Linked DNA regions of Tamandua tetradactyla. The protein of the gene in region 1 purifies or fractionates together with the protein of each later gene. This does not show direct contact. Links are inferred from orthologs where the notes say so. Each region holds a gene or a part of one and is shown in the gene's direction. Other genes may lie near its edges. The genes, in order: GNA13, ARHGEF1, ARHGEF12 and ARHGEF11.

Evidence for each region.
Region 2: the proteins of GNA13 (region 1) and ARHGEF1 purify together in Homo sapiens (affinity purification with western blotting; 5 studies listed by BioGRID and IntAct, with this or other methods). This does not show direct contact. The link is inferred for Tamandua tetradactyla from reciprocal best matches to the Homo sapiens genes GNA13 and ARHGEF1.
Region 3: the proteins of GNA13 (region 1) and ARHGEF12 purify together in Homo sapiens (affinity purification with western blotting; 3 studies listed by BioGRID). This does not show direct contact. The link is inferred for Tamandua tetradactyla from reciprocal best matches to the Homo sapiens genes GNA13 and ARHGEF12.
Region 4: the proteins of GNA13 (region 1) and ARHGEF11 purify together in Homo sapiens (affinity purification with western blotting; 3 studies listed by BioGRID). This does not show direct contact. The link is inferred for Tamandua tetradactyla from reciprocal best matches to the Homo sapiens genes GNA13 and ARHGEF11.

The regions. Positions count from the first base shown.
Region 1 is NC_135332.1:8,914,127-8,921,813, forward strand, and holds the start of GNA13 (guanine nucleotide-binding protein subunit alpha-13), read left to right. Parts: upstream 1-4,673; 5' UTR 4,674-4,890; coding exon 4,891-5,173; intron 5,174-7,687. UniProt on the Homo sapiens protein: Guanine nucleotide-binding proteins (G proteins) are involved as modulators or transducers in various transmembrane signaling systems.
Region 2 is NC_135342.1:21,590,524-21,598,492, forward strand, and holds the start of ARHGEF1 (rho guanine nucleotide exchange factor 1), read left to right. Parts: upstream 1-4,964; 5' UTR 4,965-5,147; intron 5,148-5,161; exon of another isoform or gene 5,162-6,297; intron 6,298-7,969. Other genes in the region: CD79A (B-cell antigen receptor complex-associated protein alpha chain), read left to right, coding at 209-281, 1,940-2,248, 2,357-2,475, 3,128-3,196, 3,315-3,428. UniProt on the Homo sapiens protein: Seems to play a role in the regulation of RhoA GTPase by guanine nucleotide-binding alpha-12 (GNA12) and alpha-13 (GNA13) subunits. Acts as a GTPase-activating protein (GAP) for GNA12 and GNA13, and as guanine nucleotide exchange factor (GEF) for RhoA GTPase.
Region 3 is NC_135334.1:20,292,645-20,299,966, reverse strand, and holds the start of ARHGEF12 (rho guanine nucleotide exchange factor 12), read left to right. Parts: upstream 1-4,311; 5' UTR 4,312-5,188; coding exon 5,189-5,220; intron 5,221-7,322. UniProt on the Homo sapiens protein: May play a role in the regulation of RhoA GTPase by guanine nucleotide-binding alpha-12 (GNA12) and alpha-13 (GNA13). Acts as guanine nucleotide exchange factor (GEF) for RhoA GTPase and may act as GTPase-activating protein (GAP) for GNA12 and GNA13.
Region 4 is NC_135330.1:10,069,339-10,077,132, reverse strand, and holds the start of ARHGEF11 (rho guanine nucleotide exchange factor 11), read left to right. Parts: upstream 1-4,791; 5' UTR 4,792-7,794. UniProt on the Homo sapiens protein: May play a role in the regulation of RhoA GTPase by guanine nucleotide-binding alpha-12 (GNA12) and alpha-13 (GNA13). Acts as guanine nucleotide exchange factor (GEF) for RhoA GTPase and may act as GTPase-activating protein (GAP) for GNA12 and GNA13.

The DNA.
Region 1 (7,687 bases):
GTTATGTAAATAGTTGCCCATAAATGGGTCCGATGCAGTAAGCAGGGTATAAGGGTTTATATGAGTTGCAGGATGTGTCTGCAAGACAGGCCAGGCTTCTGACTTCAGCTGAGTTGAGGTCACAGCTGGTCAACAGCAGCTCACAGATCTTTTACAGAGGCTGAGAAAAATACAACCAGCAATTAAAGTCATGTTTTCCATTATTAACAACAACAAAAAACCACCGACAATTCAATTCCACATGTCTAGTTTCATCCGAAACGCTCCACATGAAAGACTTATTCTGGTAAGAGCACCCCCAGATTTCATTACAAAAAAAAAGGGTTGCCTTTTCAAACTTAAGTCACATTAAAGAGAACGTATGGGACTTGCATATCATGTATATATTGCCAGAGTGGGATTCCTCTCTTCTCAGTTCTTTATCAGCCACCTGGGAACATTTTACAACCCAGAGGCTAAGCTCAAAGTACTCAATATCTTCCCAGGATCAGCCTAAGGACTGGTGTGAGCCCCGAGGTGGTGTTCACCCCAAAAGGAGATGGAATAACCGACACAAAAAGAAACAAACACAACTGCTGGACTCTATGCTGCCTCGTGCTTACACAGGGTTAGCTACTTGCGTCTCAAGTTTGAACTTTTAACACCTGGGCATTCTGGCCATACTGGTATATCAGAAAGATCACTTGACTCAGAGTCAAGAGGTGGGGGTTCCAGTCCTCACTCTGCTATTGGTAAGTAAAGCTTTGAGTAAGATGTTTAAACTCCTCTTTACCTTCCTTGTGTGTCAAAAGGGAGCGAGTCTAAAGCTTACAATTCCTCGTGGGGCTATTGTGAGCAGAGAATGAGGAAAGTAGGCCAAAGTGCTTTGTTTTATTAACATTACACTAATGTAAGGGATTTATATTATGAGAGGGCCAGGGAATTCCCTTACTTTCCTAGAAGGGAAGAAAGGATGAGGTTCATGCCTATTTTATCAGTAAGAAAGGACTAGAATCCACCTATTTTATGTTAATGATGAGACAGAAGAGAGTGGCGTAATACGAATGCTGGATGTGTCATTATTTTTATTAGAAAATTAACACAAGGTTTAATCATCAAATAATGTGACTGATTTTTAAATAAACATATCTAAATGGGTGTTGTCCCATTCCAAGTCATCTTGGCAAGTGAAACACTTATTTAAATTCTATTTCTCATCATTCAGATATTTTTAAACTTCTCTTTTGGAATCCTTCCTAGAGCCTCTGGCACATTATTCTGAATATGTCTGAGGGTGACAGATTTTTGTCTTTCGTGGCTAATTCTGATTTTTGTAAACAGCCCAAGTTATTTAGCACGAGGGTTGGTAAATAAGTTCCATAATGTCACTTTTTAAAATTGAAAATAAGCTATGACTATATGGTAGGAAGAATGTTTTTCTTTCAGTAAAAAGATATTTACCTAATGTATAGACTTCCCTCCTCCCGTCTTAGCTGAAGAAGACTCCACCTTAGAACTGAAAAGAATGACCAATGGGTTTCAAGAATTGAAAGCATTGTTGGAAAGGGCTTGCGCCTTCATAAGGTGACAACATTAAAGGAGAAAGCTGCTTGGAAATGTATTTATAGTCATACCTTCCAATGTTTCTCTTGCAAAACTGAGTGCCACTAGCCTTTGTGTTTCCTGGAAGAAGAGCCCTGCAATTAACCACCCATTCCAGGAGGAATTTTTTCACACCTCCACAGGGCATCTGAATATCTCATCTGCATATAAATTGACTAACCATTTATATGTTTATAAATTTATATGTTATAAATAATATTCATTAGAAACAATATAGAAACAATAATTCTAATGAATTAACATCTGGGTCTATTGGAAATATAGTGCCCAGTATATTCAATTATAACCCATAGATTCTACACACCATTTAAAAATCTGGATTTTTCTTCAGTGATGAAACAAATCTATCTGAAAATTAAAATGTCACTAATATTATATTGTAACTTGCAGTGACTGCTACAGTAGATTTGCTTCTGGCGCAAACAATTATTAGTGTTATTTTTAAAATAAACACAATGGAACTTTCACTCTTTGAAGTTGCACATAGTATGTATTCCAACGTTAAATGATGCCGATGACTTTTCTTTTATGGAATATATTTATTTGTTCTCAAACACTCTTTTATTGGGGTAAAATTCCCATCACACAAAATTCACCTTTTTAACCATTTTAAAGTGCACAATTGTGTGGCATTTAGTATGTTCACAATGTTGTGCAGCCAACATCACTAATTCCAGGACACTCTCATCACCCCAAAAGGAAATTTTGTATCTATCGGGCAGTCACTCTCAATTCTCCCCTCAACCCCAGCACCTGGCAAATGTGAATGTGCTTTATGTCTCTATGAAATGCCTATTCTCAACATTTTATATAAATGGAATCATACACTGTGTGGCCTTCTGTGTTTGGTTGCTTTCACTTAACATGTCTTCCAGGTTCACCCATGTAGCCCATGTATCAGAACTTCATTGCTTTTTTTATGGCTGAATAATATTCTATTATATGGATATACCACATTTTGTTTTCCCATTCATTCCTTTACTGATGGGCAACTAGGTTGTTTCTCCCTTTGGCGACTGCAAAAAGTGTTTCACGTACGCTTTTTTTCTTATACACATTTTTTTGTGTACACGTTTTTGTTCGAACAACTGTTTTCAATTCCTTAGGGTATATACCTAGAAATGGAATTGTGGGGTCCTATGGTAATTCCATGTTGAACTTTTTGAGGAACTGCCAACTCCCTAACTCATTTTTATTTTCAAAATTTCCAAGGTATCAATATCACCAGACAGTTAGTTAAGAGGCAGTCGGACAGCTGAAGCCAAAGCCCAGGCTGGGCCCAAAGAGGTCTCTTTTTCAGAAACAAACCAATAGGGCAGTCAGGCTTGTTCCATGGGAAGACTACAATCAGGGCTTTGAACAGCTTTCTTTGTTACTCTACCTGTCACAACATGACTTGGCTGGGCAGGAATACCTCCTGCCTGCTAGGTACTCTTTGTTCTTCATTACATAGCACACATTAAAAAAAAAAAAGTGTATCTAATGTATAGGCTTCCCTCCTCCTGTCTCAGCTGAAGAAGACTCCAGATTTGCACCTGTAGTCCAAGCAGGAATGGTGCCTGGGGGCTGACTCTGTGCTGGTCAGGGGCGACACGTTAGGCCCTTCCTGGTTGGAGAACAGGCCTTCTGGAGCCTAGAAAGAGCTCCACCCCGTGTAGGGTATTGCACTGCCCAGGGATTCTGACCCTATCAACCTGCAGAAGAAGGCGGTGACTGCATATCGTAAACCGTCCACCCTCTGGGGTTGGTCAGGACAACCAGAGATCATTCTACTACCAGCATTGTTCACAGCAGCTAGTTTACTGAGTCACGAGGCATCTCAGTAATTAACCCAACCCCAGGAGTAAATGATCAGCACCTATTTTTTAATTACACGTGCTCGCGAGCCTCTCTGCACGCTCACCTCTCATCTCCCCCCACCGCCCTAACACACAGGAAGCTCCCCTGTTACAGGAACCCAAACCAAGGAGCACTGCGTTGCGCTGCCAAAAGCAGAGGCAGAGTAAAACGGCTTTTCCCACTTGAAACTAAACAGTAAGAATCGGCTTCCAGGGTCCTCGCTAGGTGAGTCGCTCTTCCAGCCCAGCTGTCACTCGCCAGGTTCATTCCCCAGCAGTCCTTTCAGGTGTCCTGCTCCGAATCTGCTGGGACAGAAAAGCCCCTTGGCTGGTCACATCCTCTGTAATCTAGCAGGAAACCTACGAAGTGCCTGCTCCTGTCCTCCGTCTGTTTGCTTATCTGTTTCCTCGTCGGAAGCGCCCGCAGGACAGTGTCCGGTTTAGGGGGATTTTCACCATGACCTCACCCTCCGCCGCCGTCCAGCTTCCCGCGCGGCCGGCGCGCCCGCAGTCGGGGCGCAGCTCGGAACCCACACCAGTGACACGTCTCCGAACGCCTCTCACATTAACACCAACTCCAGCTCTTCCTCCTTAAAGGAGGGCCCGTACAGAGGTCTGAGAATGCCACAAAGACCTGCAGGGGTGCGGGGGTGTGGGGTGGGAGGAGAGGATGGAATAAACACGACTTCTGGTTATGGTTCTGAGCTTGCGAGAGCAGCATGTCAACTGAGCCGCGGGGGAAAAAAAGTACCCCCAAGACTTCCAGGTGTGTTCGCCCGCCGTTTGGGTAATTTTTTTGAGTCAGTATCCTCGAAAAAGGCATGGGAACGGTGACAGCAGGCGGTGGGCACGTAACCGAAAGAAAGGGCGGCGGAGATGGCTGAAGAGAAGGGGGAGCCCAAAAGGCAGTGACCAGGCCCCGGCCGCCTGGCCTCGGGGGAGGAACCCTTCGGCCCCTAAGTGCACGCAGTTAATTAAAGGGAAACAGAAAGTCGTGCTCTGCAGGCGCACGCAGGGCCCCAAGCCGCCCGGCCCAGCCGGATGCCACGTGACAGCAGCTCCCGGCCTCCGCGCGCGCGCCGGGCGGCGGCCGCAGGCACGCGAGAGAGCCAGCCAGCGAGCGCGTGACTCATACGTCTCGGTCAGGGTGCGGGAAAGAGGCAGCAGCGTGCGTGCGCGTCTCCGGGAGACAGCGAGCGCGCGTACGCCCCGGGGCCACCGCCCCTCCCGGGCCCGCCCTCCTGCCCTCCCTCCCCGGCTCACCCGGCCCTCTCCCTGCCTGGCCCGCCCTACGAATCACTTTGCTCGTTCTCCCCTCCCCGGGTGCGCTCGGGCCGCCGCAGCGCTCTCCGCCCTCCAGCCGCCGTGCCGGAGCCGCCCGCCGCCCGAAGAGGAGGTGGAGGGAGCCGGAGGGGCCCGCCGAGGCGGCCGCGGCGGCGGCGGCGGCAAGATGGCGGACTTCCTGCCGTCGCGGTCCGTGCTGTCCGTGTGCTTCCCAGGCTGCGTGCTGACGAGCGGCGAGGCCGAGCAGCAGCGCAAGTCCAAGGAGATCGACAAATGCCTGTCCCGGGAGAAGACCTACGTAAAGCGGCTCGTGAAGATTCTGCTGCTGGGCGCGGGCGAGAGCGGCAAGTCCACCTTCCTCAAGCAGATGCGGATCATCCACGGGCAGGACTTCGACCAGCGCGCGCGCGAGGAGTTCCGCCCCACCATCTACAGCAACGTGATCAAAGGTGCCGGGCCGGGGGTCGGGGGCCGGGGACTGAGGGCCGAGCCTGAGGTCGGCGGCGGTCTGCGCGGGGCCGGCCACCGCCCTCTCCCGCTCGGTCCCTAGCGCAGGATTGGCCCGGGCGGGGAGGGGGCGCGCCCCGGGTACCAGTCGTGTCCACCCGGGACTCCTTCGCCTCCAGGTGAGGGGATCCCCGGGGGGCGTCCCGCTTTCCCCCTTGCTGCCCCTGTGGGGGTCACGACCCGTTCCCCCCCCATCCCGCCGCTAGCTTTGCTCCCTCCTAGAGGAGAGTCAGGCGAGCGGGTGTCTCAGGGTGCATGGTGACCTCGTCTGCCTTCCTCCCTCCAGATGAGGCTGGAAGACCCGAGAGCCGGCATGAGACCCTACCCCCCCCCCCACCCCGCCCCTACCCCCGCAGGTCCTGCAGCGCAAACTTCGCTGCGCGGGGTGGGTGACCGAGTCACATGGGCCGGGTCTGCGCCCAACCCCCGGCTGCCTAGGCCGCCTTCTGAGCCACGGGACTTCTGGAACCGTTGCAAGAAGAAAACTTTTATCCGAGTCTCTTGTCAAGGGCGAAGGGTGACAGCCAGTCGGTCTCTTTTGGAAAAGCATTTGATACTTAAGGGTGTCATTTTCTCTGTGTTCGATTCAGGAAAGGGTAGATCCATACGGTTACCTCTGAAAAATTAACATCCGTGGTTTTTCGCCGCATTGTCACGGTCGGGCAGGATGTTTGCCCATAGTCACTGTGCTACACGTTCCACACTGGTTTTTTGTTAAGTGGGGGGAAGTGGGGAGTGTACCATCAATTGCTTCTCCTAATTAAGTGAAATTGAGTGATAATATTAAGAATCTTTGGCCTAAGATGCCCTTGCTGTGAACCCGTTTTGGTTTGATAAGTAGGGTTGAAAAGTAAGAAAAGAGACTGATCATGCTTCTTATATAAAATGAAGACTGTTGTTATTTTATATATTTTATATATTATCTAAGTATTAGTTAATATTTATAGTAGACTTGAAGGTCTAATATTTTTATATAATAAGGATTAGAAATTAACGTTTGGGTGATATTAAAGTTTTATCTGCTCCCCCAAAAAAGAGTCTTTGGCCTAGAAAAAGGGATGTGGATTCTGTACAGGTTGAGTCACTAAATTAAGATCAGTCTCAGGTTGGGTTACAGGTTCTGCTTCTGTTTGACTGTATCTTTTTAATTAAAAAGTTAAAATTTGTCCTTAAGTGGAAAAGGCACAAAATTTTTAATTCTGGACTTAAGAGAATTAGGGAAGAATGTTTTTCTTTTGCCATTTGAAAATAATTAGCATTCATTTTTCTTAGAATCACATATTTTCTGCATAAAAAGCATTAGGACAAAACTGAGTCACAGAGCTTGGTACTTAAGGCGCATCAGGCTTCTCTTTTATCTGAGTATCATTTATCTAGGAGTTTGCCACAGATTTGGGGGCTTTTCAAACATTTTGTGGTCCCCACCCCCCTCCGCATGGGCAGGCACTGGGAATCCAACCCCCGTCTCCGTCTCCAACATGGCAGGTGAGAACTCTGCCTGCTGAGCTACCATGGCCTGCCTTGAAACGGTTTTTTAAAAATTTTTAAGTGGGATGTTCAAGAAGTACTTAAGCAACTCCTTCATGTCATTTTTTTTCTCCAAGGGTTTAGTAAAGAAGAACTCCCTGAATGGGGAGGAGCATGAAAGTGTACAGACCACTGTGAGAGCAGTTCTCTTTAACCCTGCTTAAAGTTTAGCACAAGACTAGTTAAGGTTTCTTTCAAGGCCACAGACTGTCTGCCTTACCACTCCTTAATTGAAGGTATCTTTGTATCCTGGTGCAGCTGAATTTAAGGAATTATGCTAATGAGCAGAGTCAACATGTTAACTGATCTAGAGCCAGGTAAATAACTGGTTCCTTAATGAGCATTGGATTTTGAGCATTGGTGATGAAGGCACCTAGTTTTGTTGAGTTGGCATAATCAGAAAATTGACAGAAAAATAGTTTTCTAGATACCCAAAAAATGGTTTCCAATAGGCATGTGACTGTGAAGATGGACAAATAAGTAACAGTTTAGTGATTGACTTTTGGGTTTGAACAAACCTCAGTGAGTTGCAGTCCCTATTTTTATCTCATTTTGTAGTTGAGTCTTCCTTTCAGAGATTCCAAAGACCATTCTGTGATGTACAGTATTTTGAAGTTTGATTTGGGAGAAGTTTCTGAGTTTTTTCTGTTCCCAGCAGACACAGTGTTGCGGTAGACAGGGTGCTGAGGGAACAAATAGAATGCAGAGTGATAATGATTGGGTCCTTGGCATTTCATAAATAAATGTCTTTTTGGTTAGGCTCATAAAATTCTGGTTGTAGCCTTTTTCTTAAGAGCCTGAACACCAGGCCCGGCAGTATTTATTTTTTTCCTTCCTTGGTTTTAGTTCCCTTGTGATCACCTTCTACCCCAGAAATCTTAAGTTTTATAAATTAAAACATGTTAAAATCCTTCAAAAGAGCAGTTGTA
Region 2 (7,969 bases), on another chromosome or scaffold:
CTCTCCACTTGCAGCCCTGGTGCATGGTGTCCCGGGCGGACGGCGGCGGGGGCTGCCCCAGACCCAGCAGCCAGAGGGCCCAGGCCTGGGGACCAGTGGAGCCCAAATCCGGCTGGGCTGGGCAGGAAGTAGGGCGGGGCATGGGCTGGGGTGGGATCTGGTACCCCAGGACTGCTGCCACCCAGACCGACCGACCCACTGGGGGAAGATGCCTGGGGGCCCAGGAATCCTTGGAGCTCTGCCTGTCAGCGTCCTCCTCCTCTTCTCTACCACTGGCCTGGGTATGTGGCCCAGGGGCAGGTGCCGGGGGGCGGCGGAGAGGTGAACCCCGGGAAAGGCTGGAGGAGCAGAGCGAAGTGGGAGCGGGCAGCTGGGGAAGTCCCCTGGAGGAATGCATCTGTCGGTCCAACACTTGGGGCAGGGGCGGGGGGTGGGGTCAGTTAGCCAGTAAGGGGTTGCTGAGGGGAGGCTGGAGAGGCCTCAGCAAAGTTGAGGGGTGTCTGCAGCTCCATGGAGGGAGGCAGAAGCGAAAGACACCTTCCCCATTCTCTCATGCTCAAGGGCCAAAATAAGGAAGTAAGGTCTCTCATCAGAGCCCCACCCTGGGGCTGGGGCCAGGAAGGAGACGGGGGGGGGGGGGGGGGGGGGGGGGGCAGCCCTCAGCTTCGGAGCGGCCAGAAAGCTCTCTCCCCTTTCACCTTGAACACTGGACACCCCTTCCGTAGGGAACCCCTTCTAAGTGCTGGGGGTGGAGGTGGGAGGATGGGAGTCATCAGCGCCTCCCTTCCCCTCCCCTCCGAGGCCAGCTGGCAGGGACTGTGACCTGTGACAGCCTCCTCTGACCTCTAGAGGAATTCAGAAGACGGGAGGTCACTGGCCCAAGGTCAGGTTGCACAGGGGGAGCAGGGAGTGCAGCCCACGTCTGTCTGAGTCTAGAGCCCGTGACTATGATGTTGCTTGGTCCCTTTAACTGCCTCTTCCTCCTTGTCTCTTCCTCACCTCCCCAGGCCTCCTCCCACCTCCAGATGGCAGGGGCGCAGGGTGGGGGGGGAGCGGCAGTGTGGTCTGGCCAGGGGAGGCTGAGAGCTGGGGGCCCCGGGAGCCCTGCACAGACACTGCAGCCAGTCTAGCTCCCTCCATCCCGTCTCCTTCATGTCAACCAGCCCGCTGAGCCCCTCCACTAACCCCCATCCCAGCAAAGGACTGAACTCACCCCTGACCCCCAGGTTGACACATACAAGGTACAGAGGAAAAAGGACTGACCCAGGGTCACACGGCAAGGCAGGGCCCAAAGACTGGCTCCTCAGCCCCAGGCAGGGAGGGCCCAAGAAGGCGTTCGAAGCCCAGTACTACCCCTCACTGCCCCTGAGGCGCTGGGCAAACAGCCTGCTCTCCCTGGGCCCTGGCAGTCCGACCTGTAAAATGGGAAGAAGGTTCTATAAAGATGACACAAAATGAAGCATCAGGTGCAGGAGTGGGCTGGGGCTGGGGCTAGGAAACTGGACCAGGAAGGGCCTCCAGGAACAGGTAAATGCCAAAGCGATTCTGGAAGAAGCTATCTGGGCAAAGGGACTTCAACCGCTAAGGAGCCAGATTTCCAAAGACAGCGAGTCCAGTGAGGCCAAAGTATCAAGGAGGGTGTCGGGAGGGGTCAAGGGATTGCAGTAGAGAGACAACTGGGGACTCCTGGGGGTTTTCCCCCCACCCCCCACCACCCCAAGTGCATCCTTACTCTGCTCTCCCAGAGGCATCGTCACTCCCCGCCCCCCCACCATGTAGCCTCCCACTTCTCCCACATTGGTGTCTCCCCCTCCCCGCCAAGAGGTACCCTGACTCTCCTCCCCTAGGGGTGTCCACACCCAGGCCTGCTGCAGCCCCAGGGGCCAAGGCTGGGGCCTGAGTGCCCCTCCCCGGGCCCTGACCCCCCACCTCTCCGCAGGCCCCTGGTGCCAGGCCCTGTGGGTGGACTCGGGCCCCCCGTCGGTGACGGTGAACGTGGGGGATGAGGCCCGCCTGCTGTGCCTGTACAACGGCAGCAGCAGCAGCAGCAGCACCACTGTCACCTGGTGGTTCATCCTCCAAAGCAACCACACGTGGCCCTCCAGGTTCATGGGCATGGGTGAGGGCCCTAGAGGCGAGCTCACCATCTCACAGGTGAACAAGAGCCACAGCGGCATGTACCAGTGCAGGGTCCAGGAAAACAACAAAACACACATGAACTCCTGCGGCACCTACCTCCGCGTGCGCAGTGAGTGCCCCAGGCCGGGGCCCTGGGCGGGCGGGGCCGGGCAGGGGTGGGCGGGAGGCTGGGGAGGGCAGCAGGGCCGGGGCGCTGAGTGGCACCCCCTCTGCGCAGAGCCCCTCCCCAGACCCTTCTTGGCCATGGCGGAGGGCACCAAGAACCGCATCATCACGGCCGAGGGGATCATCCTGCTGTTCTGCGCAGTGGTGCCTGGGACGCTGCTCCTGTTCCGGGTGAGCCCCCGGGGACCCCAAGAGCGAGACGCCCTGTCTGAAAGGGGAGAGCGCCAGCACTCTCCTCACTGCGGCCTCGGGGGTTCAGTTAGTGTGGACTTGAAATGGTGCCAGGCACGGGCGGGGTGTCCTTACCCATCCCCCTGCTCAGGGTGTCTCCCTCTCTCCCCACCCCACACCCGAGGGGTGTCTCACTCTCTCCTACCCCCCAAGTGTCCACATCCCCCTTCTCCAGGGTTCTCACTCCCCAAAATCCCAGGGGTGCAGCACTCTGCCTCACCCACCCAGTGGGTCTCATCCTCCTCCAGTCCCCATCCAGGAAAGCTACAGACCACCTCCCCCATGCCAAAGCTGGGGAAGATGGGGGCTGGGGGGCTCGACTTCTCCCAGGCTCTCCACAGGCCACAAGTACCCCCTCACCCCCACCCCCGTCTTATTGTGTTGCTGCTCATGAGAATAAAATGGCCACGGAGAGAGCCAAAAAGTCCACATCCTCTCCCAGTGTGTGGCCTTGGGTGTGATCCTCACCCTGTCTGGGCCTCAGTTTCCCCTCCTCTAAAGGGAAGCACTCAGAACACCTCCACGCATCCAGGAGGTGCTGAGAATATATCCGCCTCCTCCTCTGCTTACTGAGCCCCCCATTCCCTGACAGAAACGGTGGCAGAACGAGAAGTTCGGGGTGGACATCCAGGATGACTATGAAGATGAAAATCTTTATGAGGTGACTGGAGGGTGGGGTCAGGGTAGGGGCAGGTGCGTTGGGGGGCTCTGCACAGGGCTGCTCCCTGGGGCTGGCCAGAGCAGGGACCTCGGTGCTCAACGCCACGCTTCCACCCCAGGGCCTGAACCTCGATGACTGTTCCATGTATGAAGACATCTCCAGGGGCCTCCAGGGGACCTACCAGGACGTGGGCAGCCTCCACGTTGGAGATGTCCAGCTGGAGAAGCCGTGACCCCAGAGGGCCGCTCCTGCCTTCAGCGCTCCCCATGTCAGTGCCTTTCCACCTGGAACGTTTGTGTATTTCCATCGTCTTCCGGGGAGCTCCTGTGTCGTCTTGCTCCTTGAGGTGTCCTCCCTCCTAGGTCTCTTTGGACTCCTCAGTGTCTAGACCCTTCCCTCAGTGGGGTGGTCGACTCTCCTTTCCTGCAGACTGTCCTCATTCCCACCACACACCTTTAACTCACCCCCCTTCCTCTGCCTCCTTTCCCAGGCTCCCCGGCGGGTAATGAGCCTTTAATCGCTGCCTCAGGGGGAGCTGATTGTAGCAGCCTCGTTAGTGTCACCCCCACCCACTGCTCTGTCATGGCTACTTAGTGATAATAAATCCTTTCCAACTGCAGACCTTGGCAGGAGTCATGGATCTCATGGGCACTGGACCACCCCTCCTCCCTCAGTCTCAAGGGTCCAGCCCCCGGCCCCTTCCTCCCTCAGACCCAGGGGTCCCGGCCCCAGCCCTCTCCTCCCCACCCCTGACACCTGGAAGCAGGTAGGCAAGCTTAGTTACCCACTAAGAGAAACAGGAAGTGCCTTGGAGAGGGGTGGTTTGTCCTCCTCTAAAGTCCCACCCCAGGCCATGTGCAGGGAGGGACTTAGGGGGCGCTGCAAGGCAAGGCTACCATATTTGTGCGCAGCTAAGCAAACACGCTGAACCGTCTTGTGGGCCTAGTACCAAATTCCTCAACTGCAGCCACACGTTTTCACCTTGGGGGGACCTGCAGAAGAGGGTTCTGGGGAGTCGTGGAGGTGGTAGGGAGACTCAGGGGCAGTGACAAGAGGGACACGAGGTCCCGAGGGACTGAAGACAGGGAGAGACAGAGCAAGAGAAAGAAAGGACCAAGGAGACAGAGAAACAGTAGCACAGAGACAGACAGACAGCACGAAGAGATAAGAAAGGAAAGAATGGGGCGTGAGATGAATGGACATGGAGAGACAGACCCACCAACACCCTGAGGAAAAGAAACACTCCGGAAATGACAGACTGAGGATGGAGATGCAGAAAAACTCGGCCAGTAAGAGGGAGAGATGGAAAGAGAAAGACCCTGAGGGAGAAGGGACAGAGGAGGAGGGTGCTTTGGGTGACGCAGAGACCAGGGAGAGCAGGGAGACAAAGAGACAGAAAGACAGAGTCCCAGAGGGGCGCGGGGTGGGGCAGAGACACAGGGAGAGACACGGACACAAATGTACAGAGAAGACGAGAAAGAGGGAGGCGCGGAGCCCGGGGCTGTGGACCGGAGCGACACCGACGGCACCCAGGGAGGCCACTGCTCAGCCCGAGGCCGGCGCGGGGCGACTCTCTCGCCCCCTCTCACCCCCTCCCACCCCCGGTGACAGGCCGGCGGACCCCTAGGCGAGAGACACGAGGACCTGGAGGCCGCGCCCGGCGGCCGGCCAGACGGCCAGACAGACACAACCGCTGGCAGGCGGGCGGGGCCCAGGGCGGAGCGCGGGGGAGGGCCCCGGGGGGCGGCGAGAAGGGGAAGGAAGCGGAGGTGCCGGGCGGGCGCGGGGCACGGGCAGGAAGCGGGGAGGGGCGGCGGGGCGGGGGCCTCCGGAAAAGACGCCCCAACTTCCTGCCCCGCCAGAGCCAGGAAGCGGGAGCCGGGACGCAGGGCCCGGGATCGCCGAGCCCCACCTCGGGCGCCCCGCCGGTCACCTCCCCGCCGGACCCCAGGTACACCGTCCCCGGCCCCGCCCGGCCTCCCTCCCCTCCGCTGCAGGGGGAAGTGGGGAGGGGGGCTAGGGCGCGGTTCCTCAGGGCTCCACGGAGCCAGAGGCCGCCCGTCCCTGGGCCTCAGTTTCCCCACCTGTCAAAAGGGTCAAAGGGAGGGGAACTACTACTTGCCCAGTGCCCACTGGGTGGGGATGAGGGATGCAGGGTCGGGGTCAAGGCCTCAGCTGTCAGGTGAAGGACGGATGAGCGCCCCTATTGTACGGGTGGGGAAACTGAGGCCCAGGGAGCAGAACCGACACGCCCCAGGACGCACACATCCTGAGACCGTGTTGAGTTGGGGTTTGAACTTGCAGGTACCTTCTGCTTAGCGTTTCCCATCCCCCACACACCCCAGCCCCGAATGCTTTAGGGTCACCTAATAAAGAAAAACAATAATAGCACCCAGAGGCCGCCGTGAAGCTTTTGAAAGCGTTTTTGGAGAGCTCTTTTCTGGGTCGTTAATTATACTCTAGGAGATAGGTAGAGAGGAGACAGCCAGGGACCTTCCCCCAATGCGCAGATGAGAAGACTGAGGCCTGGAAAGAAGTGATAACTTTTTTTTCCTGGTAATAAAGGTATGGGCAAAGGTGGGTCAGAACAGGATTTTTGCTTGCTAGCCCCAGTGGAAAGCTGGGTGGGGGTGGATTGATGTACTGGCGTCGGGAATTCAGGTGGTCCTCGAGTGGGGAGGCAGGATAGGTCGGGGAGCCCCAGTCCAAGGGGAGAGGCCGAGGAAATCTGAGATCTCTGCGCTCCAACCCCGCGGGCTGAAACCATCCGCACCTCTGGCAAGGGGGCGGGGCTCGGGTGAGTGACGCGAGCAGTCGAGATACGGAAACGCCAACCCTCCAAGACGTGCCAGAGTGGCCCTATCTGGCCAGCGTGGCGCAGTGGAGAGCTAGAGCGGCCGGCGGGAGGAGTGGAGTCGCAGGGGCAGGAGCTAAGCAGGACCTGGGCTAGAACGGCTGTCGGGAGGAGTGGAGCTGGGCGCAAAGGCGGCCTGTGGGACGGCTAGAGCGGCTCGGCGGCAGGGGTGGGGGGAATCCTGGAGCCGGCGCGCGGAGTCTTCGGTTCAGGCAGCTGCGGCGGCTTCTTCTCCGACTCCGAGCAGGTGAGGGGAGCGGTCTCCGGCGGACATCAGAGCCCTGTTCCGTACGTTTACCCCGGCATGCCCCAGCCGCTCACACCGCCACGTCTCTTAGAGGATTTAGGGCTCAAGTAGACCAGCCACGTCCCCTGTAAGATTTGAGGCTGGCATAGACCTGCCACGTTCCGTATAGATTACAAGGTCTTACAGACCCTCCGGTACCTGCTAGCCCCCCATGGAGACCCGGCTTCTGGTAGACGTTAGGATCCCTCATAGATCAATAGCATCCCTTAGAATCTGGGCCCAATTGACCCTCGATCTCTGGATGCATCACTTGCCCGTTTAGAATTCTGTGCCCTTTAACTCTCCAGAGGTCCAGTAGACTGGCTATTTCAACCACAGAATTATAACCCAAAATGATCCCCGGATTCCTGTAGACCCACCATGTGTCAGATAGAATCTTAGGGCTTTATACATTCCAAAGGCCCCTTATTCCTTATAGACTCACCTTGACTCTTCTGTATTTTGGGTTCTTTAAAGCTCCCAAAGATCCTGGAAACTCTGGGTCACTTGCTCCATATCTTACAGACCCTGAGCCCCACATAAAACCCAAGTCTCTATGAGGTCCCCTATGTGAGCCTGCTTTGCTCTAGAGCCCCCACCCCTATGGATCTTTTAAGTCAGCCCTGACCTGCCCAGAGCCCCAGGCACACAGGTGCCCCCTCTGCTGTGTCCCAGGCCCTGTCCGTTGACAATAGACTAGTTTCTCAACCTTAGCACTGTTGACCTTTGGGGTCCGTTTATTCTTGGTGGCGGGGGACTACGTTTTAAGAAGTTTAGCAGCATCCCTCGCCTCTACCCACTAGATGCCAGTAGCACACATGTACCTTCCTCTCCCCACTGAGTTATTGACAATCAAAAATGTCTCCAAACATTGCCCAGAATCCCCTGGCAGGCAAAATCGTCCCAAGTTGAGAACCACTGCTATAGATATCAAATATAATCTGGGGCCCTTATAAATTCAGGGCTCCCTATAGTCTTACTTTGACACCCTGTCCCCACCACCCCATATTTTGGACAGTTAGTCCTTAGTGGTCTGAGCAAGAATGCTCCAGGTCCCATGGCAATGTTGTCCAGCCCAGAAGCCACAGCTGGTGGCCCAGTGATGATTTTCCCATCTCTGACAGGACACATAACCACATGGGTCATCTCAATATCCTATAGACACTGGCTCCTGCAGAGAACCCAGGTTCCATGTTGTCCCCCATCAGTCCTCACTTTGCTGTAGGACCACCATCCCCACCCCTACCTCATCCCTATGGATCTAAACGTGCCTGACCTTCCAGAGCCCCCAAACATGCAGCATCCGCTTGGCTGTGCCCCAGTCCCTGTCAGATGCCTGTAGGTGCATCTGTCCTCTAACAGCTTCAACCTATAATTCTCTGTCCTTTCTAGAATAAAGAGATAATAGGTGTCGAGTACTTGAATTTCTGGAATAAAGAGATAATAGGTATTGAGTACCTGAATTGGGGCCTGGTACCAATCAGTGGCTCAGATATTGTGCATCCACTCCTTCCCCCCTTGGGGTCCTCCTGCTGCTTTGGAGCCTTCCTATCCCTAAGTGGGCTGAGCAAAGACTTTCCATATCCCATGGCAATGTTGTCTGGCCCAGAAGCTGCAGCCAGTGGCCCAATGA
Region 3 (7,322 bases), on another chromosome or scaffold:
TGTTAACTCTTCACTGCACAAAAACCATATAGCTAGGGCTTTGGATGTGAGATGAATGTGGTGTGCGCAGATTTACTGAGTCCAGTTGTACAGGTTCTGCCCTACCAGGAAAACTGTATGCCAGTTCTCAGGGCTTTTGTGCATTAATCTCCTAGGCATGAGAGGCTGTGACTAAATTCCATAGGGATTTACTATGTGGATTCCACTGTGCTTGAGATGGCAGTTCAGGTTTCAGCTTTGCTGTACATATTGCAAACGAGAACCAAAGACTTTAAAAAGTATGTACTGGCCTCAGGGGGGAGATGAAGCTAATGTTTTGTTGTTGTTACTTCATATATTTTCCTTTTTAGTCCTCCTCTTCTTATTTCTCTCTTAAAAAGGTACCACTCTCTTTGGACACATTATTTTGACCAGGCCAATCTTGGAATAAATAAAATATATTTCTTAGAGCAATGGTCTATAATCACACCTTGGAAAAGCGAGAATATAAGCCTAGAATAGGGGGTAGAAATAAAAAATTCCTGGGTTCTTTAACTAATTTTGCTACTCACTCACCAGATTATTTACTCTTTGCCTCAGTTTAAACCTTTTTGTGAGTGAAGGAAATATCCCGGCATGTATTCATAGAGACATTGTGTGGCATTTTATTAATGGCAGTCTTTAAGTTATGACTTTTATGAAAAAATGAAGTATTATGTATGTATTTATTTATTTATTTATTTAACTATGTTATGTAGACCAGTGAGTGTCTGACTAGCTCAGTTGGTGAGCAAGTGTGTGGTGCTTATTGAAGTCAAGTAGAACGTCAGTCCATTCCATGTCACAGAAATACTAAACTAATGAGTGTCTTGAAAGTGGATGTTTGTATGGTTGGCCATAGAAACAGGCATGAGGGAGTGGGTGGAATTACACAAAGTCATCACTGCTATGGGAAAAGCACCTTTAAAGGCATATTAACAGTGGGTCTTTTTAAATGATTGCCATTTGGTTAGAAAGTTTTACTGGGCATTGACACAATCAAACAGATGGCATCTGTGCATCTTATTTCTATTATCAGTATCCCTGAGATGCTGCTGAGCTTCCTCCCAACAAAACTGTGGTCAGCCTAGAATGCTGGGAAGTGCTGATTTTAGCAAAAGCCTAGTAAAAAAAGAGTGGCTTGGTACATGAGCTTAAAAAAGAAAGAAAAAGAAAAAGCTGGCTCTTGAATTTTGGCACAGTGCAACCTGTTCCATACCAGACAAATGAATAGACTTAATCTGGTACCAGTTCTTTTCTCTTGACTCTTCAGAAGCAAAGGGATAGCAGATCTTGCCGTTTTGGGGCACTCTCATGGGAAAGTACCTAGTGTTTTTTTGAACCATGAGAAATCTGAATACGAAAAAGGGAATCCCTCATTTCAGCTGTTCTTGACATTGTGGCTAATAACTATGAAGAAACTTCTCTGAGAGAAAAAATGTGAAATGAAGATGACTCAGCAGTTAAAATGCTGAGTTTCTGCACCACAGGTAAATGAAGGGCTAATTAATCTATGGTATGGTTGGACAAAATGAAGTACTCATTTGCATTTGGATTGCTATGTAATAATTATTGATACTGCCCAAGAACGATTTATATATAAATAAGATTTGTACTAAATTTTATAAAAATAAACACATTTAAAAAATCAATTCAGAAGTTTTTATATCTTTTTTGTGGTTATACCAAGAAGCAAAGAAAAAAAATTTCTGACTTTTTTTTGCAGAAATATTGACTCATATTCATACTTCTCAGTGAAATACCTCTTATCAGTTGTTATCGGCAGCCATTCCTACTATTCTTTATTTTAGGGAGCAACAATCTACATATTGAAAAGTTTGTCAAAAGAGAGAGGAAAAAATTTATTTCTTGTGCTGCCACCTGACTGCCTTGAGAATAATAATGTGGAATGAATTCCTTGAAGACAGGGCCTGTGGCTTTCTTCAGAACTGTACTTCCAATGCCTCCAACAGTATGCAACACATAATAGGTACTCAACAACTATGTGGACAGAATGGAGAAGGCGATGGGAATGTGGTTTAAAATAATCCCCATTGGAAAACCTCCTGAAAGGGAATGCCTGGTGGCTTGGGTCATCAAGGTCATTTTTACCCCCGGAAAGGACTCCTTGACTCTGGGGAGTATCTTCTAGCTAAATTGACTCTTCTGAAGAAATTCTATAGATAGAGCCTTTAGAACAGTCAAGAGCTATAAACAGCTGTAAAGAGGCTTTCAAGGGACATTTTTTACCATTAGAGCTTCATGGATGAATATAGAGATTTTCATCATTAAAAAAAAAGTTCTGGAATGAATAACCACTGGCTTAATTAAATCCTTTGCTTACCATCTTCTGAAGCTTTCCCACAGCAAAATGCCTTCTTTGCTCACAGCTAGAACTTTGAGTCTGTTTAAGTTTGGAAAGGTCTTGAAAGCAGTCTGCCAAGAGGTTTTGTATGCAAGGAAGAGAAGGTGAATTAGGAAACTTTCCCAGTTTGTTTTATTCCTGAAGCTCAAGTATTGAGGTATTCTTGACGGGAAGAGGGGAATTCATTTTTAAAATGCATGATTGATGAGTCACTGGGAGCAACTAATTTGACACACTGTAAAATTTTTAGTTTTAAACGTATTCAGTACATTTAAGAAAGAATTATTAAATTGGACATAAACTTTGGATTTTGGTCACTGTATACAAAATGGATGGAGCTCATTCGAATTATGTGTAATATACAATTTAATTAGTGTCTTCAGATAGAATTGTCATCTAGGAAACACCAGCAGGTGGCAATGTGTCTTGGTCTGATCATTAGGAAAGTGGCTTGGAACCCTAATGTGCTTCTATTCTTTCCAAAAATAAACATTACAAAATTAGCTGGCTGTGCCTTGAACTTAAAAAAAAAATCAAGCAATAAAGAGTCATCTTTGGACTCTGTTTTGTTTATCTTTTCCTTTTGGTTCCCCCGTTTTAACGTCACCCTTAGCGAATGCATCTATTCAGGGATAATAATCCTTTCATGAACTTTGTGGAATGACGTTTAACAAACATTGTTAAGAAGTAATTGTTTCTTCTTTCCACATCCACTGCATATTAGATTTGATTTGCCACTTGATTTCCACAAAATGGCTGAAGCCACTCACCCACCAACTTGTCTAAACGTACAAGTCTGAAAATAGTTGAGTAACAAGGGCAGTACTTCAGACGTTTGAAGGCAGAATTAAAGAACTATATTATATGTTGCTGTTAAATTGCCACAATACCGACTTATTCAAACATAAAACTTGGATATCTAAAGCTCTGTCTCCAAACGGTAGGGGGGAAACCCCAAAGAATATTTGGGAACTCTTCAGAGAGAATAATAATGCTATTGGATATTTTTTCTCTCTCATTTCGTCTCACAATAAGCTTGTTAAATCATAGTGGAAAGCATTATGCTTTCTCAGTTTGGCAAATAATACATTTCATTTTGCCAAGGCAGAAAAAGCCTAAAAACAATATTTATCCCAAGAAATCCTGGCTTCAATTTCCAATTCCAGTCCCTAAGCCCCACACCTGCCACCTCCCACCCTAGGCAGCCAGGACTTAAGCGCCACGGCCCCTCTCCTGGGACGAGGGCAGCAGGTGCTCCAGGTGAGCTGCCCGCGCCAAAACCTCTCTCTTGGGGTTACCTTTAGGGGAAGAGGAATGGGATCCGGGATGGGCCCATCGGTCAAAAGCATTCTATACGTGTTAGAGAGTAAGGAGAACAAGTACATTCAATTAAGGAACAGAAGTTTCTAGGTCAAGGGCAGAGGGGGTGGTAAATTCCAAAGGCAGACCCTCATCATGAACTCCTAGGGACTGGGAGAGTTCTCTTTGGAGAACTCTGGTTAAAACTGAGTTAATACACGCTCAACCCCGACGCACAGCTCTCCGGCAGTAAGGGGGCGCCGGGGTGGGGGTGACGGTGTGTTAGTTGGTGGAGCTCCTGTGGCCTCAGGCTTTTCACCTTCCTCCGCCCCGCAGGACTACTTTTTCGTTCCACCAAACAAGGCTCTGGCGGAGGCGTCCGCGCGGGAGCCGCGCGAAGACGAGACGGTAGAAGCCGCGGAGGGATCTCGGGTGAGGTGGCTTTCCGAAGTCCGAGGGCAGCAGGCCAAAAAAGTCGGGGAGGAGGGGGTGGGCGTGGAAGGGAGAGAGCGAGCTCGCCTGGACGGGGCTGGGGCCAGGAAGGCCGAACCGGAACCGGAATCCGCGCGCGCGCCTGCAGTTGTCGCGCGGCCCCCCGCGGCTAGTGTCCTCCTCCTCCTCCGCACTCCGCGCGCGCGCCCGCGAGGGCCCCCGAGACCCGGCGAGCCGGCCCTGTGAGGGGAGTCGCTGCAACTCGCCCGCCCGCCCCCTTCGCGGGCGCTTTCGGGCCGGACCCGACAGGAACCTCCCGCCCCTCACGGGAACCGTCGCCTCTTGGAGCGTCGGGGAGGAGCCACCTCAGCCGACTGCGGAAGATTCCGGCCGGGGAGGGATGGGGAGCAGCCTGCGGCGCTGAGAGACACAGGTCCCTGTCATTTCAGGCCGCGGGACCCCCTCCCTAACAGCACCCGCTGCTCGTCACAGCGCTCGGAGCCTGGTGGGGGCGGTGAGGAAGACGAGAGGGGTCCCTGCCCCGGGGATATGGAGCCCCGTGAGCCGGGTGCGGGACTGCCCGAGACGCTGCAGAAGCTGCAGCCAGGAGCCGCCGGCAGCCCCAGATAGAGACCTGGGCCGAGAGGTCCTGGCCCGGCGGCGGCGGCGGCGGCGAGTTTGAGACCCCAAAGGAGGAACCGACTCTCGTCACTAATCCGATCCCTCCCCAGCCCGGAGGGATTCCTGGGTCCCCTTCCCCGCGGCTCGTGACTTCCCTCGGTGACGAAGTTTTTTCCCTTGTGCCTTCCTGAGGATTTATCACTAGCTTTAGAACTCGCCTTCTGGCAGACTTTCTCGGTTTGTTTGGGGAGATAACTTGTTTTGCTCCAGCCTATATCTACCCTGTCTTTGACCCCTTCCAATCGGATGCTCTAGATGACTGAATGGAGTTTTGAGTTGGACTTTTGTGTCCCTGAAGGAGTTGGGCCTGATCCCAGAGCACTGGGGGTGGGGTGGAGGTGTTACTGTAAAATGCAAGTTGGATAAAAGGAGCACCTCTCGCCAAGGGCCCCAATGAGTGGCACACAGTCTACTATCACCGACAGGTTGGTATGAAGCTCCTCCTGCTCTTAGTCTCCCGAGGTTCGGCCCTGCCTACTGCCGATTGCCTTTGATTAGTGAAATTGACAGGCGGGTTGTTCGGGAGCTATGCAAATAATTTAGGGTTGCTGCCGAGTCATCCGGTTGATTAAATTTGGAAATGTAGTTTTTCTGGAGAGAAACTTCTCCAGATTACCTGTAAAGCTATAGGTAAAACCGCGAATGTGGTTTTCTGTCTGTAAGTGCATTAGAATCTGTACTCAGTCTGAAACCAAAGGAAGGTCATTTTAGGTGAAGGTCAGTGTCTGAAGTCGGCTGAGTATTGGTTTTTCCTCAGTTTTAGTCCAATCCTGCAGTCTCTAGACACGTTAATTTTAGGAATTTCGATTTGTGAAGTTAATTTTGAGTTGCTGCATGGTGATTTATGATTTTAATCTCTTTTAGGTGTTGACCTGCATAGTGTTTACTTATCTAATAATTTTCTAGAATGTTAAATTTACCAGTACATCCCAGGCTCTTGCTGGAGGCACGATCAAGGACTGGGGGGGTGGGGGGGGGGGGAGAGGGAAAATCGTGAGACTTTATTTTAATTATTGAATTCTAATATTTTCAGAAACATTTGTATTTAAGGGATATAAACCGTAAGGTAATTATGTAGTACAAGCATGGCAGGTAGATTTGTTAAGTTGTTTGTCTTTTTTAGTACCTGGCTATGTTGCGTTGTTATATTTGGTGAACAGAGCTACACCATAGCAATCTGAAGGGGGTTTAGAGATATAAGTATATTGATTCCTTTATCACACTTTATTTCTCAGTTTAATTATGAGACTGTATCCTGGACCCAAATATCAGTCAGCTTGTTGTTGTTTTAAGTCAATCTTTAAACTATTACATCATTAAAAAGAATAGATCAGGTAACTGAGAGGCTCTGGTTTTTAAAAACATTTTGATGTAAAGTGCAACAATAGAGTACCTCCAGAAAGCACATGAATTTACTAATAAGGGAGTTTTACCCAATTGTAAGACTCACTTGTTGATTTTAAAAGGGCCAAATTCCATTATCATACCATAACAGCTATTCCAGAAACAGAAGAACTTCCTCTTCCTGTTGATGCTTTCCAGTGTCATGTGACTGTTCACCTAAAAGATTCCATTAAAAACTTAAACCATCTATTTGTTCCCTGGTTGCATATTTTTAAAAATGGGTTTTATTTTTCAATAAAATAATTTTTTGCAGAGCACACAACAGAAATAGCAACAATGCTAATCTTATTCTTTTCTAGTTGTCCCCATTCCTCAATTATACAGGGTGTTTTGCTTTTGAGAAATCACTTTCACGGGTTTTTGGGTAATTGTTTTCCTGGATCACTCAGTTCTTGCCCTTTCTGTTGAGTTTGTAGACAGAAGGTCTTATTAGGAACTAGTAAGTTCCTAAGTAGCGTTGATAGTTTTCATTGCGGTGCTAGGGGCATTTAATTTTGTGGAAACAGAGCTTAGTGCCCCCAGCTCCTTCCAAACAAAAATCACCAAATGCCCCCCCCCCCCCGCCCCCCAAGTAATGGCCTTTCTTCACCTTTGCTCCCCAGGGCTTTTCTTCCTATTTCTGTTATCTGGGAAATAAGATCTTGGGATTTGTGTTCTTTTTATAACTCACTAGAGGTATAAGCTTGAATAAACATGCAATTATTTAGAGCCTTTTTCTGTGCCAGGTAGTGTGTGAGGCACGAAAGATGGAAAGATGAGTATTCTAAGTATAAGATGAAACTGCAAATTGTTTTGGGTATTTATAGCTTTGAAACTGGTTCAGGTGCTGCTGATGTTCCATATTTTTTTAAAGGAAACAAAAACTTTTAATTAAGCACTGCTGAGAGTATGAATACCTGTTTCTTAGGAATTTATTACGAGTTTTTTTTTTTTACAAGCATTATTCTTATATGATCACTACTTTTCCTCAAAACATGTCCTTTCTGTAAATATTGATCATCTGTTTGCTCTTTAAAAGAGTAGTTGTCCTTGACTTGACTTGCATATACGTTGGGGTGAAATTTGGAAGTATTGGTTTAGTATTATTTATGTGCCAGGGGGCCTTAACAAAGTTATGAGTATA
Region 4 (7,794 bases), on another chromosome or scaffold:
TATTAAAGGATGCAATTTTCCAAAAAATTATCTTTGACAAGTATGGTTTCTAGTCATGACAGCCACTAACTTTTACTAAAAAGTATGATTTTTAAAAAGTACTTCATCTTTATTTTAAACTCTTAACATCTCTACTCTTAGGGCGTGTTTTATAGAGTACATAATTAAATGCCTGTAAGTAATTATTAACAAATACATATAGCTTCCAAAAACATGAAACAAAAGTTGATAACGAGAAAACAGATATATCCACAATCACATTTGGAGATTTCAGAAATTCTCTCTTAGCAGTTAATAAAGAAGGCAAAAGACAAGCAGGGATATAGAAGACAGAACACTTCCAACCAAACTGGACTAGTTGGTATTAGAACAGCTCACCCCAACAACAGGAGAATACACATTCGTTTCAAGTACACAGGTCATAAAACAAGTCTAAACAAATTTAAAAGCACAGAAATCATAGGGATAATATTTTCTTTATATAAATTAAATTAGAAATCAACAATAAGATACCAAATATTTACAAAATATATATAACTTAAACTTCTAAATAACCATGGGTCAAAAAAACATGCAGGAAATTAGCATACTGGATCTAAATAACAGTGAAAGCACAACCTTAAGGAATCAGATAAAGCATTGCTTAGAGAGAAATTCTTTTCTATTTAAATATAATAGAAAAGAAGAAATATTTAAAATACATTATCTGAAGTTCTATCTTGAAAATAAAAAAAAAGAGAGAGAGAACAGATATTACACCTATTAAGGGAACATGGTAAAGAAATGTTTGGCAACCACTGGTCTATCCCCATAAGAGGAAGTGTTGACATTTGGAAGCATCATTTTTGCAGGTAGTGTGAGGAGGGAAGAAACAGTAAAGCGAGTAGGAATTTGGAACGTGGTGACCAACAGTTGGGCAGACCAGTTATCTTTGGGGGTTCTGGCCTAAGGATTGGGGGAAAAGGGATGGAGGCAGCAGGTCTTTCATTTATTTGCCAACCCGTCCCTGACATAATTTAGGTGAAATTCCTAATTCAGAGTAGATCTTCAGGAGGGTTTTGATTTCTTTTTCCTCTTGCTATTTGCAAACCTATTAATTCAAACACTGCTGGGGTCACAGTCCGTACGGTAGGTAAATATACATATGTATATATTCCTTTCAACCCCAGTCAAAGTGGTGTGAAGAGCAGAGACCCTATGCACACATGCCACTAACAGCCGGACCCTGAAAACCAGCACCTCCCTAGGCCAGAAGTCAAAGTTCACTCTCCAGTCCTCACCAAAGTTTTCTATTTATCTTATTTTTTTAATCACAGCGCTTGGGACCTTCTGACAAATACCCTGTTACTTCGATTTAGAAACCATGATTCTAGCTGAGGAGGTTATGAAAACAGATTTGTCCTGGAAAGTCTTTCCCATCGAGTTCAAATACGTTTCACACGGTCCGGTACTAAGATGCCAAAACCAGCCGGAGGGGCATCTGCTAAGGGTCTTTCTTCCCGTGTAGTCGGTGCGTGTTGGAAGTGGGGGGAGCCACGGAAACGAGGAGGGGGGAGTTTAAAAAGCTCCTGGCCACGCAAGGAGGCCCGATAAATTCCTTAAAAATAAAGATGAGAAAAGCGGTGGTGCGAGGGTGAGCTGAGGACCTGGGAGAGCAGGGGTGATGCCGATGAATGCAAAACGGTAAAACCCGAAGACGTCGGGGCGGGTCTGCGGCTCCGGGCACCGCGGCCGGCGGGGGGGAGGTCAGGCGGGGATAACAAAGCTCGGGGTGCGGAGCGCGAGTACCTACGGGGAAAAACGCGCCCGAGCGCAAGCGGCGAGGCGGAGGGAGGGGCGGCGCGCGGTGCCTCGCGGGGTCCGGACGGGGGTCGCCCGCAGGCCGGGCCTGGAAAAGCCCGGGATGTGGCTAAGCCGGGGGGACCAGCTAGGCCGCGCGGGGAGGCGGGGCCGGCGACCGTGAGGCCGCGGCGGGGACCGACCGGGGTGCGGCGACGAGGGCCGAAGGGGGAAAGGGCGCGCTGAGAGGTCGGGAGCGGGGCCGGCAGACGAGCCCTCGAAGGAGGGAAGGGCGGGCAGCTTCTCGGCCCGCGCTCCCGGCCCGGGCGTGAGAGGAAAGGCCGGCGGGCCGCGCCGCGAGGAGGAGGAGCCTGCGGCCCCGCCCCCCCGCGGGAGCGAGGGCAGGAGAAAGGCTCGCGGGGAAGGCCGAGCGAGGGGAGGCGGGGAGGGGGCGGCCGGCCGGGCCTGCGCCCGAGCGAGCGGCGAGCCGAGGGGGAAGGGGCCCGGAAGGAGGCGAGCGCGGCCGCGACGCCGGGAGCCGGACGCCCGCCGGTGCCGGGCCGCAGCCGCCGCAGCCGCCGCCGCCGCCGCCGCCGCCGCCTTCCCGGCTTGCGCTCGAGCTTGGAGTCCGGAGCGGCCGCGAAGGCCGGAGCGAGGCGGTCGGTGTGAGGCAAGCGGGGCCGGGAGCCCGAGGCCCGGCCGGCGGTCCTGCGCCGAGCACGGTGGGCTCCAGCCTGCGAGCTGAGGAACGGGGCGGAGAGGGAGGAAAAAGCGAGGCCGAGAGAAGCGAGGCGATCGGATTTTCCAGGAGGCTGGTGGGAGGAGAGACCTTCCCCGAACTCAAATCCACAATAATAATCCCAACTAATAATAATAAGGGAGCAGTTTTTCTGGCCGGGCGAGAGGGAGAGAAGGGGGAACGGAGGAAACGAAATCGCCGTTTCATGGAGGCTGAGGCAGGAGAAAATTTCGGAGCCTGGATGTGGAGGAGCAAAACAGCAGAACTAACTCAGGAAATTGTCTTTCAGAAAAAGGCTGAACCTAAGCTGGGTCTGAGAACCAAGCTGGGGTAGGTGGAGAAACCTGCAAGTTTAAAGGAAAAAGAAAAAGAGAGAATATTTTCAGAGAGTCTCTGTTTTTGTGTTTATTGCTTCCATTTTAAAGGTTAAAAAGCACTGCATTTTAACCTTTCAGGTGTTTTTTTTTATTTTTTGTGTGTGCGATTGGCTCATTTAAGAATTTCAAAGCATTTAAAGTGAAAGATCTTTTTTTTTAAAAAAAAGAAATCTATACATTTTTGGTTCCTAAGGTTGCACAGGACTTGGAAGGAGTGCTGTTGTATACATACTATTGTATGGGTTTATTTATTTTTTTTACTGTGCAAATCAGCTGAGATTTCTTACAAGTGCCAATTCGGATTTATTCATCCTTTTTTTCCCCCCCCCCTCTCTCTCTCTCCCTCACATATATCCGTTGTCGTCGTTTTAAGCATTGGAGACCAGAAAATTTGTTTTTCTTTGGAGCTTTAGGCTCCCTTGCCAACAGAAGGACAGCTGGGAAAACTGGATTAAAAGGATGGTTATCTGTATTTTACAGTTAAGACTGATATTTTGAAGTCACATTCTTTCTCTGATTCATTTTTTAGCCCATAGCATTAACCTTGAAGAGATTTGTGGTTGGGGTTTTGGTTTCTAAGAAGGTCGTAGTTTTTCCTCTTTTCCTTTCGTTTTTTTTTTTTTTTTTTAGGAGGGGGAGGGGTAGCGGGGGCTAAGAAAGGAGACCATGTTAACTGATATAAGTAGAATGGAGCTTCAGTTACCAGGGTCCTGAGTGCTGGAGGAAAAAAAGATTCAGTCTTCAAGTTGGGAGGGCCTCCTCTCACGTTGCTTAAAAATTGCAAGTGATTCAGTCCTGTTCAAGACACCAAAAGCTACAGGATTCTGGAACCGTGGAGACATCAAGAAACCATGAGTGTAAGGTTACCCCAGAGTATAGACAGGTAGGTTTGCTAATAATTTGATTTTTCTACACTTACTAAAAGAAAGGCTGGTTGGGAGGGTGTTGCATTTTGATAAAAGGTTACAAAAGAATGGTCTGGGTGGGCTATGGTTTTTAGAATCTGTGGGGAAATGTTGACATAGGAGCATTGGGTCTCTTGGGCCTCTCTGGCATTTGTGTTTATGTTCCCTCTGTGTGTGTCCATGTTCAAAACATACCTTTTGATTCTGTGTTTTAAAATACAAGCCATGAGCAATGAAACCAAGGGAAAGGAGAGACAGGGAAATGCTTTTAGGTACCTTTGACTTGCCAGGCTAGAGGCTGAATTTGGGTCCCCATCTTGCCAAGTGTAGGAGGCAGACGGAAGCCTGGTCATGTGGACTGGGATTGGTTTTAGGTGTTGGAATTGCTAGGGGAAGGGCCCCGGCGGCGGGGGGCGGGGGGGGGGGCATGTGTTAGAAGAGGTGGCTTCAAGTGCAGGCCTCTATCAGGCTGGTTGTTAGGGAATGGTGGGGCTTGTGGATGGGATAAATTCCATTTCTAGAATGAAGAGGATGTTCTTGGACTAAATGATGGTACAAGAAACACCCTTTGCACCTAGACAGGCCTGTGTTTTTACCAGCCGCCCCAAAATGCATAGATCATTTTAAGATTTCTTTCTTTCCAGGCTTAGGGTTTAAATTGAGACTTGCTAGCCAGCCAGTACTCTAGCTTTAATTTTCCCTGCAGTGTTGGATAAATTTGACTCTGCAAAACGGAGCTCCCCTCTGCTTAGAGGAGAAGTTGTTTGGGGCTCTGAGGTCTGATGGGCAGAGGTACTGGCTCCTTGGTTTCTTAGCACATAATCCCCTCCCCCGCCAAGAGTCTGCAAAGCCTCCTCTGTCACTGGTAATATATACCCTGTGTTTGTAATTCTTTGCTCCAAAGGATTGGTACAAACTTTGTAAAGTTTCTGCCTTTTCCTTGCCTCCCTTCTTCCTTGAGGATCTGAGATGGGGTGGGTGGGGAGGGAGTGGTTTGTAGGTGCTACACACATCCTACCTGAATAGATGGGTGCATAGAGGATTGAACAAGCGAATGAAAGGACTGGGCCTGGAAAAAAGTATTTTTAGAGAGATGGGGAAGAACATTTGCAGGGGAGCAATTGCTCTCTCTGAGTTAAGTTAACCTTTGGTTATCCATGCTCATAATAATTTCCTTTTGACTGTGGAATGTAGCCTAAAATGCCCATAATCTCTCCCAAACACTAATCTCTGTATTGCTTCAGAGTCCTGCTTAGATTAGTTCAGCAGTCCGCAGACAGGGATCTGACTTGGCAGTGGAGAGAAGGCAGACAGCTACAAAGGATATAATGTGTATGTGGCGGGTTTGAGCCACCTCCACTCCCTTCTCTGTCATTTGACCCTTGTAAAGGGAGACCTGAGACAGATTGAGGCAAAGAGTTAGATGGTTTACGTCTCCCCACTGGGAATTAGTGCACTTACCTTTTTTGAGATGTGGATGGTGAACTACTACTGTGAATTCAGGGGTGGGGCTGCAAGAAGGAGGAGGCAGTAAGGGTTCCTGGGTTGATGTGGGAAGCTCTTCTGGAGTTTATCTATCCTTACAGTCATCTCAGGATTTGTATAGCGTGGTGTGGTTTCAGAAGTGCTTTTATAGTACATATCTCATTTGACTCTCATCACAGTGTTTATGTGAGATAGATAAATCAAGGTTGTTGCCATTTTACTGAGTCTCAGAGAGGATACCTGACTTGCCCAGTACCATCTTGCCTGATGAATGGCAGAAGCTGGACTCAAACGCAATTCTGATTCTGAACCCATGACTCCTTTTATTACCCCACCCTGAGTAACTTGATTCTTATACTTGTCCTGTACAGTGTCGGGGGCAGGAGGGTCGTCATGTAGAAACATGCGTTGTCATTTTATTCTCTCTCTTTGGCAGTAGGGGAAGATGGTCTTCAGCAATCAAGGTATTCCTTTACACTTTCTGTTTAGTAGTCTGGGGATAAAGCACCATTTTCTTCTGCGGGGTGATGTATCAATTGTCCAGTGAGAGCATTCCTCATTTCCACCATCTCCAAGCTTCTCTTCCAATTTATAGGTTTAGTTCTGGCATCCAGGTCCCCTTCCTTCTGGGTATCTCCAGCTGCATTGGATCTTGATCTGTTAGCTGTAAGCTCATTCTTTTGGACGCTTTGACATCCCAGTTTTATGACCCTATGGAGTTTTAAAATAATTGGCAATCTTACACCATACTGGGGGGATGGAGTGGGAGGAAATGTTACAGATTATGTAGTCAAAGATTCTCTTTTGGTTTGTCGGTTCTCTTTGTATAGAATGTAGTGTAAGGTGTTATAAGAGTGCTTTAGAAAATTAAAATATATAGTTCCTGCTCACAAAGAGCACATAATATAATTGGTGACCTAGGAAACACAAGAGACCACATAATACAACGCTAGACTGTAATCTCCATGAAGGCAGGGACTGTTTGGTTTACTTTGTTATATCCAATGTGCTTAGCTCAATGCTTCACAGGTGGCAGGTGCTCAATAAATATTTGACAAGTGAATGCTGGAATGAACATGTGAGCAAGTATAAATTCTTCCATTTCAGACTGTTTCAACATTCGTGAGTTAATTTCAAATATAGTTCAATAAGGTCAGTTAAAGAAGGCTTCCAGATGAGGTGCATTTCCTAGAAACTAAGTGACAAGTTGAGGACCCTGTATATGGGGAGGTATTGTGGCTCAGAGTAAAGAAGGCTTTGGAATATTTATTTGACAGAGTTTTTTTTTTTTTTTCAACTCTGACTTCTGGGTTCATAGAAAGCATTAATTATTAATTATGGCTAGTCCTTATATTTTAATCATACTGAAAGATGATAGGCTAAAGTGTAATTAATTAGTGTCCTTTCACATTTTGTCCATGGACAAATTTATTGCCCACTAATATATTTTCCTTTCAAGAGTTTCTCAAACTGTGTTTGGTATTACAAACAGAGATATTGTTTTTACAGGAGTGGTCATGAGTTTCACTTATTTGTCTGTATACAGGTGTCTAGTTCCTTATGTTAAATGATTTTGAGATGGCCAATCTGGTTATGTGTTTTGCATCTATGAAACAGCTTTTCTCTGTGCAAAGTTAGAGAGTTTATGTGAAGACCAGACCACACAGCGCCTTAGAGAAGTACTAGATTTAAGCCAAGAGTTCTTGATTTGAGCCGTGGCTTTACCCTTTAACTGTGTGACCTTGGGCAAGTTACTTTACCCTCTCTGGCTCCTAACTGTGAAGCAGTGGCTCATTCATGCAAAGTACTTTCCAGTTTACAAATGTTTTCATATAGTGTCATTTGAAGATTATAATATTTATCCCACCTTTCTCATGGAGCTGTTGGAAGGAATGGAACAAATGAGATAAAATATTTCAGATTGCTTTCCAAACCATAAAACTCAGTATAAATTTTAGAAGAGAACCTCACGAACCTAATTTAAGCTTCATGCACTACTTTGTAGCCCAGAACAAATTAAGGAGGCTAAAATATCTTTCCCTTAGTTTGAAAAATTTAAGGAAAGTAAACAGACTTTATGGATGCAAGAGTGAATGGGGTTAGTAAGAAAGAATACTATTCCAGTGGTCAGGGTTGGGTGGTGATACCAGAAGAAAAGTGGAAGGTTATTGAATCTCCTTCCTGGGAATTTTAACAAACGAGGGAGACTTCAGCTGTCCTTAGCTCACTTAGATGTCTTTCAGTGATGGGGATGGAAAGGATTTGTTCTGGCCTTTCCTTGTCTTAGAAGCATGACTTTACTAATTCAAAATAAACCCAGACCCAGCAATTGTTCTCTATCAGAGAACTGAGATCAAATGTAACCTTTCCCCAGTCTACAGCCTTTCTTTCTATGGAAGGCAAAATCTCACATCCGGTAGTGGGTGGGGAAGGGAGGGGAATGAGAGGCCTGTCCTAGGAAAGAGCTCTCAGGCGGAGGGAAAGATGGGTAGAAAAGAGCTGCAGAGGC